Linked DNA regions of Drosophila melanogaster. The protein of the gene in region 2 interacts with the protein of the main gene of each other region in a biochemical or structural test. Each region holds a gene or a part of one and is shown on either strand. Other genes may lie near its edges.

Region 1 (8,036 bases), on a different chromosome or scaffold from region 2:
ATGATACACGGCCCAACCGAAAAGGCAGTTGGGCAGGCACCGGGATGCCCTCCACCTCCTCCTCTTGGCTGGGCTTAACTCCCTGCCCTGCTCGACTCGATCCTCCCCTGAATCGATTTAATTTGCCGTGCGGAAAACGAGTTCGAGTTCCAGTCAAGTCGAGTCGAGTTGAGTCGATTCGATACGAGACGAGGGAACAATGTCAGTTACTGGGCGTCGATTAAAGAAATATGCGTCCCGCTCCGCAGTCCGTTGATTGCGCTGATGTGGGCACAAAAATGCGTGAGAGGGTGCGGAAAGCGACGAGGAGTGGGGCAGGAGGTGGAGCTCTGTGGAGGAGCACTGATGCCGCAGAAGCCGAGCAGCAAACTGAAAAAGTGTTGATGCTGCAAACATCAGCGACAGAGCCACGGAGCAGCGGGCAGTCCCGGTTCCAACTGCCCATCTCGATCTGTCTGTGGACATACACTGGCGAAAAAGAAGGGTAGCCAAGTGGGAATTTTTGATTTTCTAAATTTAAAAACAATACAAACGAATTTTCAACACTGTGTCTTTCAATTGATTTATTAAACTAAGTAATGTTTATTTATAACTTTTGGTAAGCAGTTTCGCAAATTATGAGCATGTAATGAGATATGACAGAGTTTATGATAGGAATTGGTAGATGTTTTTATCTTTTTTTATCTTTTGACATTATAGGTATAACAATCTTCTCTATAACAACCGTTTCACAAGTAATACGTTTGTGATTTATATACTTTAAGGTGTGTACTTGGAACTCTAAAGATTCTTTTTTTAAACCCAAAGAAATCTTTCTCAGTGCATCGTTCCATTCTTCCACTTACCCTCGTCGCGGGTGTGTGTGCGTGTGTGATAATTAGTTCGTTTGTTTGGCTCGAATAACCGAAATCAGCAAGTCAGCAGCAGGCAGTATTACGAGTGCCCACTGCTGTGGCCTCATGCTCATCAGCATCTTTGAGATTCAGATTCAGATTCTGATGCAGATGCGGATACAGATCCAACTTCGACTGCCACAAATGGTGCGGCAACATTCGTCGATTAAGCACAATGAATGCGAAATATTGTAGTAATAATCAGGCAACCCACTGTGGCAGCCACTTGAACTTGCCCCATGGGTGGCGTTTTGATTTGATTTTGTGTGCGTGTGTCTGTGTGCGGGGGGTGGCAATGGGAATGGGGAATGGGGGGCTAGAACTGAACTGTCACTGTGGAATGCGAGGCATTTGTCTGGGAAAAGCGGTGCTGGAAAACTGCAAGTCAACAGACAGACAGGCACTGAATGAAAAGTGGAATTGTGTCTGACAATTACGCGTCAAACGTTTGATCTAGGGTTTTTTCAGGGGTAAAAATGGCCAGAAAAAGGACTGGATGGTCTTTGATAGAGTTGGAATTCAATTTAAAGGTTACAGCATGGCTAATAAACAGTCATCAGGGCTTTATTCAGGGATTTTCCCTTCAACTACAATCGAGCTTCTCGGGATCATTTCCTTTGTGTTTCAAACAAAATTGATTTAACAACATGAAAATGGGAATCGTACTGCCTGCCAAGCATTATTTATGAAAAGTTATTATGTAGTCTCTTACTTCTTATGTGTAAAATAAATACCATTTTGGATATGATTTCTTTGAACGCTACTTTGTAGGAAATAACTAGCTTACAAAATTATGGTTTTATGTCTATTACATATAGGTAAAATACCCTTATCCAGCCAATCCAGTGTAGTAGAAAACCTCAAGGATGCTGTATTCAATTCAAAGTATTTCAAACGGAGACCAGTTGTTCATAGAACACAGCCTAATAAATTGGATTCATTATAAGGCAGCATTAAATCCTGAAATTCCCTTTATACCCCGGCTTTCTAAGCAAATGCATGACTAGTTCATACAATTTTCGAGAGAGAACCCTCTGGAGAACTTTCGACTGGCAGTCTTTAAGGTTGCCGAAGGATGCAGACAGGCGGAAGGACCAGGGGCGGGGGGTGTGGCAGTGGCAGTGGCAAAGGTTGGTGAAGGGGAGTTTTGTAGTTGCCACAGCTGCCCTTAATGTGGGATGTACGATGCTTTTGCTTTTGGCCTGGCATGTTGCATGCAGCATTTTGCATGCTTGAATAACAAATTATGACTGCCACACAAAAGGAACTCACACAAACAAGCACACACACACACACACACACTGACAGCCACATTATTTGCCATACAAATAATGGACCTCTGTAGTAGCGTTGCACAGATTTTGAAATATGCGAATCCAAATCCCCCTATCCTCGCTGTCTGCCGGCTGGCTTTTGTTAGCGGCTGTTTGCCTTTGTGCTACTTAACAGTCAGCAGTTTTCAGCTCTGTCCTGTCTCACACACACACACTCGAACGCACGCACACACATGCGTTGTTAAGGACCTTCGTTTGCATAATCGTGTCCCTCTTGAGACCCGAGATCCCCCTCCTTCGGGCACGATCCTTATCCCACTCGTAATCCCCGCTGTAAACTATATTTGATTAGCCGAAATTTCGGCGTCGCTTGTCTCACTTCAAGTGGGTATCGTGATCCTTGGCAGGATGGTCCTTATATTTCAAGTGTGTGTGTGTGCTAGCACTGGGAAAAAACATTCGGAAACATGCCTATATAGTGTTTCTAATTAGTGAATCTATTAAAACAGAACGGATCTAAAAGGTATAGAAATGAAATATTTATTAGTTTTATAACAATATTTTCTTATTCCGAGCGAGTATTTTAGCTGATCTGCCTATAAATTAACTACTTTATCTAAAGAAAAGTATTTAATGAGCAACATCTGTCATTGAAAAGGATAACCTGGCCACAAGGACCTCAATTGTTGCCTGTGTTAGTGAGCTCGTCACATTTTCGATGTTGATGTTTGCCCAAAATGACTTCATTTTGAACTGAGACCTGAGACTCATAATTTTCCAAACGGCTTCCTCTCCCGCTGCTTTCCTTCTCCTATTCCAAATTAGTAATGCCAGCTTGGTGGCTCCTGGCTGACTTTTAATTGAGTCATTTTGCACGCCGCTTGCCTTTCAAATTGAATAGCCAGAGACAAAGGCTCTCTGGGTTTTCGGTTTTTCTTCGCAAAACAAAATCGCCCTTGGAGAATAAGGAAATAGGAGTAGTTCTGTGTGGACGGCAGAGCCCTCGAGGTTAATAGAGTCCATATTATGGGTGGTCTCACCCAAGATGGAATGGCCAATATTCTGCGCAACACAAATGTTGTGATTCCTTTGAAGTTCCCAGCGATTCAGTTGCAAAGGCAATCGCCAAATGCCGACATCGAAATAAGCAAATAAATGGGAATTGAGAACCCCCTTAAGCAAATGAAATGAATTTGATTGCAAAGAACCCCCCGAGAATAAGGCAATCCCTCACTTAGTCCACAAAATCCAATCGTAGCAGACCACTTACCCATCATCAAAGCCATGACCAGGCCGCATATTGAGATCATCCTAGCAGTCATCTGCGTATATGTATAACCGCCGCACTTCGACACCTTTGGTCTCAATTAGCGACACAAAAAATATATAAGCACTCGCGTATTGGATCAGTATCGAAAACGAAGTTTTATGCTGCTGGCAATCCGATGAATACACTCGCACATCCACCAGATAGTCACTGTAAGTGCCGGCCACTCGAAAATGCACTCAACGCATTTGTAAATATTCAATATTTGGATGGCACAGACGTACGACGACGACGACGATGACGACGATGACAACGACTGCCCTTTTCAGGGGTTTACCGGGGTTTCAATGGGATCACTGGGCTCCACCGGGGATGGTGTTGTTGGTGGTGGTGACTGGAGTCCAGGGCGGTTTTTTGATGTTTACTGTGGACACTCAAATTAAATTGCTATTTACATAGTTGGAACGCATGAAATGCATTTATCACCGAGAACACACGAACTGATACGCCACTTGCTGTTTGTTGCTTTTTACTTTTATTTTCCGTTGACGGCTGGTTTATGTTTCGTGGCTGCGTTCGCGTTTGCTTTTTTATCAGCGACCAGATTGACAAGCGACGGATACGGATACCGACAAAGGTATCTAGATACACAAAATGCAACGAAATGCTCGAAGACCGAAGACCGAAGACCGCGCGGCAGAGGGCGCAAGGAGCCCAACTGTGGGGTTCAATTACCCAAGAGAACGCGAGCGCAACAAATCAACTTAATTTGTATCTTAAAGATACAAGAGCCCGGCTGCATCAGCTGCATCCTTGGCATCATCGCATCCCGAACCGGCTTTGGTGGGTGATTTTAGTTCGGGGCAAACTCGGCTAAACAAAACGTAGCGCAAAAGGAACTTGGATATCTCGAATCCAATCGAACCTCAAACTCAATCTGAACTGCACGCGTTCGAAGTCTGTTTATTACTGAACTCCGCCGGCTGTTCGAAGTTGTTGGTGGGAACCGGCTTTTGCTGCTCTCTCAGCGGAAAATACTGGGTTCAGTTAGCGCTCTCTCCGGTGGAATATACCTACTCGTGACCAGTATTTCTTGCATGCCCTGTATTTCTGCCAGTGCTGCCGAGCTGCAGCAGTCGTTTGTGGCGCGGCAAGTTTGAAGTGGAATTTTAAAGACTTAACTCACAAGTTTCATTTAATTTAAAATACACCAAAACCTAAAATTAATTTATATAATATATATAAATATATAATATTTATAAAGAGCAACCAACTTAAGATGATCATCGTGAGATGTGGTAAAAATGGTTTATTGTGATTAAAAAACTAAGAATTGTTTTATGAGTTTATATCAAACATGAGTATTTAATTTGCGATTATTCCCCCTAGCTGAACCCGACACTCTTCCTAATTTCATTTGATGAAATAAAGCTATCAGTTGTCTGCAATCAGATCAGAGAGTCACTATGCAAACCGCCCGCTGTCTCATCATCCAACCGTTTCCCCCTGTTTTTTTTTTTTTGAGTCCAAACAATAATGCGTCTTAATGACCAAAGCAAGAATCAGCTAAAATGGGGTGGCCGGTCGGCAGTGGGAGGAAATCCATTGGTGGCTTGCTGCTTTTACGAGCAGATATACGACGAAACTGCAAGATACTTCCACTACCAATTTTCCACACTCGAAGAAATAAAGAAAATTTTAAAATGTTCTATGAGAGAAAATGTTATCTAAGAGCAACGAAGGAAAATTTTGATAATACAGCAAAACCAATTTAAAAACAATGACATATAAATTTAAATCCAATTGAATCTTTTGATTGAAAGGTTCGGCTCTTAATCATATAATGTTTATAAAACTGTAGAAGTTTTCTATGAAATTGTTGGATAGGTAAAATGGTTGATTGGTATAAAATTATAGTTTCTAAACTTTTTAAACAAATTCTAATAGATCAAACCTATTGCTGTGCATCTAAGACAGTCCTTGGCTGCTACTGTGCGATTATGAGAACGGGCCTGCGTGAGTGTGTGTGTGGATTTCCATTTTATAGTTTTCCGCTTGATTTTTTTACGAGGCCTTTCAACCCCGCACAATGGAAAACCAAGCGAAGAGCCACAAAAACAATTGCAGCTGATCCTTTAGCCGGCGTTGACTGACACCCAAGAGTCGTAAACTGCCGTTGCCATTTGTATAAACTATATAACCGAGAGGGGTGGTGCCCACCCCATTTCCTCCTTCCCCCAAAAGTCCCAAACCCCGCCCCTGATTAACAGTCCGGGCCCTTTGTGATTATATCTGCGTGGAAATGCGTGTGTGCGGTTATCAAAGGCTGGCCATGGCGATGCCCAGAAGGGCGAAGGGACCGACCATCCAAAGTTGGGCCTCCAGTGCGCTTTTCCACCTCCCATTTCCCAGTGCTCGCGCTGACTCTTCGGACGAACGACAGTTATTGATGTCATAAAGTTGGAGATTTATGCCATCGCCTGGCTGGAATGTAGGGCTTATGTTTTATTATAGGCCTTGTTTTGAATTTGGTTCCTTTTCGCCTTCGCCTCCCTTGATTTTGGGGTGCAAAGCGATCGGGCGAACCGAAGCTGCAAATGGTGTGTTAATAATATTGTATTAACTTTTCATATTGCAAAGGGGTTGCCAAGGGGTAATATGTTAATTGGATAAGTCGCACGATGCCACAACTTCATTTATTTCAAAAATATGAGACCCTCTTTGCTAAATCAGTAGATAAATACATACATACAAAAAGTTTCAATTTGAAAAATTTTATTTTCGAAATCGCACTCTTTGTCGGAAGTCTTAAGTATATCCTTAGAAGATCGTTACAAATTTGATTGCTCTGTTCTTGGAAAGTTTTAAACGTTGCAACTTATTCCTGGCCAAACTAGAAAGAAATCTTTTCATCTTTTAGGGTCTTTCGACTATACCGCCATCCATATATGTTTAAGTTATTATTTCGAACTGCTTACCGTAACTCAACGCCTCGCAATCGTATAATTTTATGGAGCATCCCAAAAGTTGCAACGGATTCCGGCTAGAATCCAAATCGGAATGCCGCCCATAGCAAACATCAAACATTAGAAGGCATTAAAATAAATTTTAGTAACGCGGCCTTTGCGTAGACTAAACAAAATAAACATACGTACATATATTGTAGTACACAGCGTTTGAAGGTGTTTTTGGGCTGAGGCCCGCCCCGTGCGCACTTACTATAAACAAATAAGGCGAAAAAGTACCAAAAAAAAAGAAATAGAAAAAAAAGGGGGAAATCGAAGAAGAGGAAAAACATCAGCGGAAGGGCCCCCAACAACAAGTTTTTAATGCATGTCGATGTCGTCGTCGCCGCCGCAGATCAAAGGCAAATCGCCTATACATACATATGTACATATGTAGGTGCATGGTACATACATATAGAGAGGTTGGGGTGCTGCATAGGATACCATACCATGCCATACCATACCATACCACACCATACCAATCCATTTGATGGGCGGCTGGTGGAAATGCAGGCAGGGGTGGTCGTAGTCGCAGTCGTTTAATTGCACTTGCCGCTTACTTTTTTATCTGCTGCCTGGTGGCGGAGTAACCTGCGCATGTGTAGTTGCCTTTGGATAACGCCTTTGATGTGTGGTGTGCGCTGTTTATTCGAGCGCTATAAAAAGCCATAAAATATGCATAAAGCACACTGGCAATTGGAGATTGCCAGCATATGCCAATGGAAATGGACATGGAAATGAAGCGATTAAGTGCAGATGCCGGCAATTGAAGGGAAATTGTCGCTGGATATGCTTTAGATGGAAATTCCCTACAAGATGATGGGTATGGGTGACACTGCCTCAAAGGATGGCATATCATGGTGCAAGCTAGTCAAAGAATCCAAAACAAATTGTTAAGTAATTTGGCATTGGAAGGATACCTTTTTCCTATCACAAATATAAGATATACTATTCAACATGTTGATAAACTATAATTGCTATGAAGAAACTTTCATTGTTTTAATTAAACGAAAGAAGAAACGCTGGAATGTCGCGCTATTTTACGACTTTTTATCGGAGGGGGGAGGGAGGGTTGCCTTTATGTGCAGCAAACTTCTCCGTCTGTCATAAAAAGCGCATAAAAAGCCATGGCAGAACACTCATCCGGGTTCCATGGGCTTTACGGCCGTGCCAAGTGGGCTTCCAATTTACGATGGAGCAGCGGAGGAAGTTTACGAGCCCCGCACAACGCTTGTCCGCCGCAAAAAAAAGGAGATTGAAACGATTGCGCTATAAAATGGGGCTCTATGAGAGCCATAAAATATTTATTCTACTAAAAAATAACTGTACATGGGATATATACACAGAGACACACACATGCATAAATACATAAAATATTTATATATATATAAACTAGATAAATATATAAATACAAATAGATTTCTGGGGGATTTCACAAGTTCCTTTTTGATTCTCAACAACAGAACGGAGTAACTTTCGAGGGGCATGTTTAGCGAGATCATGGAAAGTGGCTGAAAGGTTACTCCACAGGCGCAGGAGCACTACTCCTCACACAATATCGTCGGCCACCTGCGACTCCTGCTCCAGTATCGTGCTC
Region 2 (8,085 bases):
GTATGTTCGAATAATCTCAGGTTTCATTTCGAAATAAAACGAAACAATAACAGCGATCAGTAAACAATAAATAGCCCAGTTTCAGTTGTCAATTAAGTTTTATGCACGGTACTATTTTCATTTTTATTTATACTTGTAAATTATATTGTTATACATACGTGTGTATGAGATATCTTAATTACATTCACGTAGTCATCACGTTCTCTTGCTAATGTCGGATGACTTTTCCGATTCGCCAGTCAATGGCTCCTATACAGTTTATAGCTGTTTTGTTTTAAGTATTTCCACATCTACATCATATTATTTCGTCAGAACCCTATACCTTATACCTTATAAAGCTGACGTTTATTGTCGGGGGTCTTGACGATACTTAAATCATACGTCATATTGTATTGTTTAACACATTTTGCTTTCTCAAAACAAAATCTAAGTAGTTACCGATTAAGAATTATTAGGCAGTAAATTAAATGATTTCATAAGTATCTATACATATTTTTACATAACAGAATTAGTATAATCTTTAACTGCAGCTAAATTTTATCCTACTTTTAAGTTTCATTTCACAAATAAACTATCAAAGCGACTTTACTAAGTATGTACATATTTGAAAATGACTTGCCTTGAAAGCGCAATGTTGTTATCCAAATAAAGAAACAAAATTTTATTGCAATTATATACTAAAATATTGACTGAATCAGAATGAATACTATAAAAAATAATACTGATAAGGTACGACTCATTTGATGCTTAAATGCATCTTACCCAATTGCTTGGGTATTTGTTGTCAAATGAAATTAAATTTATAAATCTTAAGAGTACAGAAATATTAAGTCAAAAGAAGGCAAGACTAATAATCTATTAAATTTACTATAAAACTTAACTAGTAAGTTCCGCCTCTAAAATTTCCATTTTAGCCAAAGTCGAGGGCTAGTTATTATCTGCACATATCTTTCCTATCTGCCATGAACTCAACCGTTATCTTGTTTGCCAACCTTTTATGCGTCTTACAATGGCATCTACTTTTCCAACTCTTCCAAAGATAATATTGTCCTCTCTGGCAGCTGGCTAATTAGGGTACAATGAAATCAGGACAATATCTCTAAATAATATGGGTTTAGTTACTTGCAAATGCAGAACACTTTTTAAACGGAGTATATCTTCTTTTTGCAGGAGATGCCACTGATGCGAGAACAGGATCGACCGAGAAGCGAATCACCTTCACCCTGGCTCCCAGTTCGGCCGAATGCTCGCCGTCGGGTAGCCAAACGACACTTACTCCCAAAAAGTTCGAGGCCATTGCCGAGGAGGAGAAGGAGGACGACAAGGCCGATGAGGAGGAGGAGATCATGGAGGAGGTGGTGCTGCGACCTCGCCTCATCGACCGGCATCCTCATCTGCTGGCCAACCCCAGTGGACTGACGACCACGCCCAAACGGATCCTGCGATCCGCCAAGAGCGTTCCGCACATGAATGTCCGTTCGTCGGCCAGTGAGACGGATATATTCTCCATTAGCGGTACGATGACCGGAAGCAGTCAGATCAGCATGACGCCGGAGGTGCCATCGATATCGTTCAGTAATCTGCCTAAGAACTACGAGGACACGCCCACTATTGAGAAGTACCGGGTATCGCAGAGTCTCTATTCCATTCAAACGGCGAATGCTGCTCGGGCCACACAGGATGATTACTCCATGCCGCGCTACTTCCGTCGATCTGCCATGCTATTGACCCAGAGCTCTGAGGTGCTGCCCGGCGCCAGTTCACTGGCCTCCATGTCGCCATCGATGGCCTCGTCCTCTGCCTCGCCCGGGTCCTCCAAGGACGAACTGCGACGGCCAGAGAAGGAGAAGAGCAAACGACTCCAGATGCTGCGTGGCAATCTACCGCCCTTACTTATTCATTCCGTGTCCTTCAAACGAAATCGCGACGAGGGCAAGCAGGTTGACTAGTCGCACTGCAGATATACATATTTATTTGTTAATCACTTTGTCCATGTTTTTAATGTTTTAAATTTATTAGCCTTTAGTACCTGCTTATGCGTTTTCTGTATTATCTTCTAAGCAATGACCTTGTCCAAACAATTCCTCAGTATTCAGATGTACTTCATTTTGAATTAATGATTGATATTACAAAATAAATTGTATTTTACCACAAAAAACAGCGATTAAAGATCCTACTTAATAAATCTTTATAAAAATCTAAACGATATCTATTTGTACCATTTTAAAAGAAATAAATGCGAGCTTGAAAAAAAATGCACTTATCTCCCCGACGGGGAATTGAACCCCGGTCTCCCGCGTGACAGGCGGGGATACTAACCACTATACTATCGAGGATGTTATACAAAGTGAGTCAAACTCGGGTTTTCCGTTTGCGGAGTGTGAATGCTTGTTTCAATTTCATCTGTTCCCCATTTGTACTCTGAAGACAGTGTGCAAGCTCGAGACGGTTGTTTGACAGTGGGTAGACAACATCCTCGATAGTATAGTGGTTAGTATCCCCGCCTGTCACGCGGGAGACCGGGGTTCAATTCCCCGTCGGGGAGAGATGTAAAAATTACTTTTTGTTGATTGTTTTAATTTATTAATTTAATTTTTTAATTTTTTAATTTCAAAATTTAAGTAATGCAATACATGTTTCAGACCAACAAATTAAAATAAAAAATTGCACCATATAGCTTAAAAAAACGTCAAACATGTATATTTAATTAGGTCATCCTGGAAGTGATATATAATGAAACACATTTCAACGGGTATATAAGTTTTGTTAAGGGGTAACTGTAAGCCGGACCCATTTAGCTTACCACCCAATATGGTAGCACTGGCTGTAGAAATTCCCAATGGCAACGCTAGTCGACCAGTTTTCATTCGTATTGGCGTGTGTGTTGTTTGTACAACAAAACATTCTAGTTGTTTTATTTGCAAGGTGCTCATATAAAAACATAAACAATATATTTCGTAGAGTGCCCTAATAATTTATTAAGTTGTGAATTAAACAAATATGAATAAGAAGCGTGTCCAAGTGAATTGGTTAAATTGTAAATTATAAATAAAGCAATACATATAAACGGCCGGCAAAACAGAGAGCGCGTTTTAAGAGAGAACCTAATAGGAAAAGAGTGTAGAGCTGCCAGGTTTCAATTAGGTACCAGGTACCAAACGTATTTATTATTCGAGAAGAACTATTTTTGGTGACTAAATATGGTTTCTGATTATAGAAGTGTTCTCCTAATATATAATTTTTAAAAATTTTTTTCTACACGTGCCCTCAGATTGTTGATATTCAAAATTCGTACACAAACGCCCTTGACAGGCGCAGTCTCACCCGCGCCCACTGAGAGCGGAACGACGGAAATTTCAAACATTATTTCTATTTTCTATTTGAATTGAAACTATGTATTTTCCATAATTTTCAAAATATTCTTGATTTTTTTTGAATAACTAAATTAATTATTTTAAGTATCGCGAGGGAGAATAAGAGTTTAAAGCGGCCGATTATATTGAGGGGGAGTTTCAGTCAACGAAAAGGAAATAGTGAGAGGAGAGGGCTTATTGAAGAGAGCCTCTCATTTTAAAATTTCTCTTTAAGCGTGTTCCTTCTAAAGGACACAAGAAACTAATATGTTTATGAAATAAGAAACTTAACCGTGTATGTGTTTTCCAATTTTGCGTGAACAAATAAAAGAGCTCAAGCATTTTATCGTTTGAGTAATTTTAGATAAAAATTTATTAATATTTTTTAATGTTTTCAATTTGCCATAGACAACATTTTTTCCAATAAAATTCGGTAATATAAATAACATGGTGTTATGGCCTGCAATTTTTATATAAATTTTTAGTAGCACGCTCTTAGTTTAATATTTAGGTCAATAAAATAATTATCCTTATTGTTTTTTTTTTTAATTTGCATATTGTTTGTTGACCAGCTGTTAAGAGAAGAGAGGAGAGAGAAAAAGAGAACCGAAAAAGTGACCGTTCGCGACTTCGCAGTCAGCGCTGGAAAACGCACTAACGCGCGGAAAATGCCCTAGCGCCAGAGAAAGTGCCATTTGAGACTGAACTCTCTTTCGTGCGAGTTCCCTTTTCATTCGAAAATTTAACGCCCGCGCTGCTGCAGCGCGTTGTTGCTCCGGTTGGAAAATATCTGAAAACAGCATTAATAAATAAACAAAAATATTGGATAAATCGCCGGTAGAAACGCTGCATAAAACGAAATTTGGTTTCTTGTAAAATATTATTTTTCAAGATATTTTCTTGTTAATTTCCGGATATTCGACAAGGATATAAATGTTTCTTTCGCGTTGATAAACAAATTCCAGCACCGCTACCTTTGTGTCGCGCAATTGTGAAAAGTGATTTGTCCATTGTGTACATTAATTAATAAATTGGTAATTGCTCAATTTAGAAACATGTGCAATCGAGAGCTAGTGTGAGTGTTTGTGTGCAACAATAATAAAGCCGAAAATTGCCCAATTGCAATTGGCAATCACAACAAAATTGGAATATTATGGCACATTAGAAAAAGAAAATAACGAAAACTGTGTTTCCACCCAAAGTTTAGGCCGCAGCAGAGCGAATCCACAAAAATATACAATTTCGGCAATTTTTCCACATATTTTTCATTGATTTTTCGCCATCCTGCGGGTGTGAGCAAGAGGGCGAGAGAGTTGAAAGGAGAGCCAGGCTTTTGTATTCTGTTTTGGGTACGTTTTGGGAATGAAACGGTCCTGGCTCTCGCTAACCCACCCTCCCTCTCTCTTTGGGATTATCCTTTTTATATTTTGTTTATTTCTCTATTTTCCTGGCCACGTTTTGTGCACCATTCGTTTCGCTGCATTTCATTCTCGCGGCGTTTCAAATTGACTCAGAGAGAGTGAGAGTAAGAGTGGGAGAGAGCAGCACTCTCTTATTCTTCTTCCTCAAACTCACGCACCCCCCGCATAATGTTTTTCGACTCTGCCTTGTGCCCCCCATTCGCATCTCTCCGCAGCGCGTTGCCAACCAAAAAAAGAAAACTAAAGTACTGTTGTCATAATAAGAAATTTATCAGGAAAAAAGTTGAATTACAAAGTGTTTCAATTGATATTTCTTGATCATTTCTTCATCAAATCGTGTTTCATATCGTAGCAAATATTAATTTTAATTCAAAAAGCCCTACATGCCAGATATTTGTGTTCAAGATAAGCTCTTCCTGCGGCCATAACTTTTGATTGGGAAACTGAAATCTAATCCAGTTTTCCTTCTCCCATTTCCACAGTATTTAAGCCAGAAACAAAGTGAATAAGGCAAATTTGAATAAAGAAAAAGAATAAACCAAGAAAATATGCTCAGAAATCGCATCCGTAGCCTACTTATCGCATGAAGAACCGGTACCGTTAAGGGATAATCGCCGTCGCGTTAATTCGACTCCTGCACCGCACCGCCCCGCCCCCCCGTTCGTCGTTTCGTCTATTCATATATCCGATATAACCGTTATCGCGCCCGTGCATCTGCGTCTGCATCTGTGTGCGTGAGTCCTTGTATCCTCTGTACATATGTACAATATTTGTCGTCGTCGTCGTCGTGCATCGTTGTTGTTGTTCTTGCTGTTATCCTATTATTCATCGTCGTCCGCTGGCATTAATCTGCGTATAAAGTAAATATAACAAATTTGTGTTCTTCGGTGTTGTCTCGTGTAAGTGTCTATAATTTGTTTAAGTACGACAAGCGATCGGTGCGAATCAAAAAATTCCAATTCACCAGTCTGTGTGTGCGAATCGATAATCGAGCTATCAGAACAACCACAACAACAACAACAGCCCAATCAATCGATCAATGTCAGCAAACAAACGATAAACAGGACTCGCTGGGACTAATCAATTGCGTAATCTTCAGAATATTTTGGATTCCAACGTCTACGGAGTTTCAACTTTTGAACAATTCATTTTGCTGGACAGTTTTTGGAAAGGTACGTTTAGAAATAAATATCTTATTAAATATAGTAAGAGCAATCCAAGTGTCGCATTTTTATAAACATAGTCATTTGGATTAAGATTAATCGCAGGAAATGGTGGAGTTAATTTTCTGGAAAATCAGAACGTATTTTATGCCAGATACATTGGGATGTTCGAAAATGCATTAACACTGGGTCTTGTTGCCTTCAGCTCCCAAAATTGTTGTTTTTTTTCAAGGGTTAAGTGGATGCACATCGGTCGTGCCGGGAAATATCTATATTTAGCGCACGTATTGTCCTTTGGCCACGTTCTAGGATAAGGAAGGACATACCTTGGTAGGGTCAGCAAAAGTCGTTCTCGATATTTGCGTACGCCACACACACGACTGCTTGAGTGCGAAGGGTGTGGGCATTGGACGAGACTCATTAGGACAAACCGAAAATGGTTGAAATGCACTTTTGCAGACAGATACGGAATATACCCTCGGACACACAGCAGGAGATATCGGAGCTCAGACAGAGATACAAAACGGAGCGATTTCCATTTGAAATGTAAACAAAGCACGCTGATACCCCGGCACAGTGGAGCAGATGATTGGACGGTCGGGAAAACAAAGGCGAACCAAACACTTAAGATACGGCTACAGTGGGAACCACAGAAAAGGGACACCGACAACAAGTGATTTGGAAATGTTGATAAAAATGTGGTAGCTATTAAGTAAAAACATAAAGATGCCAGTTTGAACAATTTCTTTGCCAAGTTCTTAGGTTGCATTTGAATAACTAAAACTTTATTTATTTTAATACCCAAAAGAGGGGTTTTTAAATTGGTTATCAGATCTTTTTATTTGTTTTGATAAATTTAAACTGGTACACTTCATATGAAGTATTTTTTATGTGCTCAATCCCTTAAGCGCCTACTCATTGACACGCAAGCTGAAAAAATTGAATATTCCACTCGGGAATCTGATTTAGTTCTGCTTCACCCGCATTTATGTCTGCATTACTTAACCGATTTCACAGCTGTAATCTGTTTCTTTTCCTATCTGTGATTGCCTCTTTTTTACTCTCGTTTTGTGATACATTTTCGATTCGAGAAATGGTCTTCGTCATCGCTTTTGATAGCTTTAATCTTTTAATCGCTTGCATATTTAGGAATTTAACAGAGAGCCATCTACGTTAATCCGCTGAGATTAGCCTAATGGGATGTTGTATTTCCCCTGAATCTTTCATTTTTGTAAATGGTCATTTCTTGAAATGTTATTCCAAGTTCTTATGGTAATTTGATTCCCCCTCTCATGGTAAACGACATAAATGTATCTGATAAGAATTGAAATACAATTGATGATCTTCTTCAAATTCTCTGAATTTCTCTTATTAAATTTTAATCAATTATCTTTTTTATTAATAAACTATATTTGCTTCCCATTGTGCAAAGACGGGTGAGCTTAGACTGTGGTTTAGATGACTGTGGACTTCTGGCTTTCAACCTCCTTTGCCACTCTGCGGCCCATTTCACATTCTCCTAGCCAAGTATCTAATCTATGTATCTAAGTATAACCAAAGAAGCCCGTATGTTTTGTATTATGTTACACAAATATTTAAGCTGCCTTAAGTAGATACAACGAAACGCGTTCAAGATACACATATGTGTAGAAAGAAAGAGCCAAGGAAAAGCGCAACAACAACAGTGCCGCGGATAGAAAAGTTACATTTCAGTTAAATGTGCGGGTGCTGAGCGCAGTGGGTGGTGGAAATCCTCCATCTACCCACCAAACAAGACTAGAAAAGCCAAAGTCGTGCAGTAAGTTATCACATCCGAAGAAATTGAATGAGCAGACTAGCATATAGATGGATTAACAGGCAAATTCAAACGGAGTTGGCCAGCAAAAGTGCTGGGAAAATAGCCAGAATATCGAGATACTTATTAATTTTGCTGGCGGAGATGAAAATAAATAAATTTATAAAAATTAAATACTCTAGTTTTGCAAACTGTAACATTACTATATGATTATCACAAATTAAGCTTTATATGTTTCTTATTAAAGTACTAGTGATTTTATTTTATAAAAATTAACATCACTGACTGAACTCGGTTTCTTTCCGACTGGCTAACTGGTTCGCATTTGTGTGTTTTGGTAGCACTTGGACTGT

The links.
Region 1: the proteins of Sema1a (region 2) and otk form a complex in vitro, tested with the Drosophila melanogaster proteins (one study listed by BioGRID).

The regions. Positions count from the first base shown.
Region 1 is NT_033778.4:12,015,441-12,023,476, forward strand, and holds the start of otk (off-track), read right to left. Parts: upstream 4,407-8,036; 5' UTR 3,490-4,406; coding exon 3,438-3,489; intron 456-3,437; exon of another isoform or gene 1-455. Other genes in the region: otk2 (off-track2), read right to left, coding at 7,988-8,036. UniProt on the Drosophila melanogaster protein: Acts as a calcium-dependent, homophilic cell adhesion molecule that regulates neural recognition during the development of the nervous system. Component of the repulsive Plexin signaling response to regulate motor axon guidance at the embryonic stage.
Region 2 is NT_033779.5:8,539,288-8,547,372, forward strand, and holds the start of Sema1a (semaphorin 1a), read left to right. Parts: upstream 1-2,859; 5' UTR 2,860-2,925; intron 2,926-3,925; exon of another isoform or gene 3,926-4,428; intron 4,429-5,256; 5' UTR 5,257-5,946; intron 5,947-8,085. Other genes in the region: CG17834 (uncharacterized protein), read left to right, coding at 1,171-1,949. UniProt on the Drosophila melanogaster protein: Involved in growth cone guidance through its role in axonal repulsion. Function in neurons is essential for adult survival, motor neuron survival, and is important for climbing behavior and activity.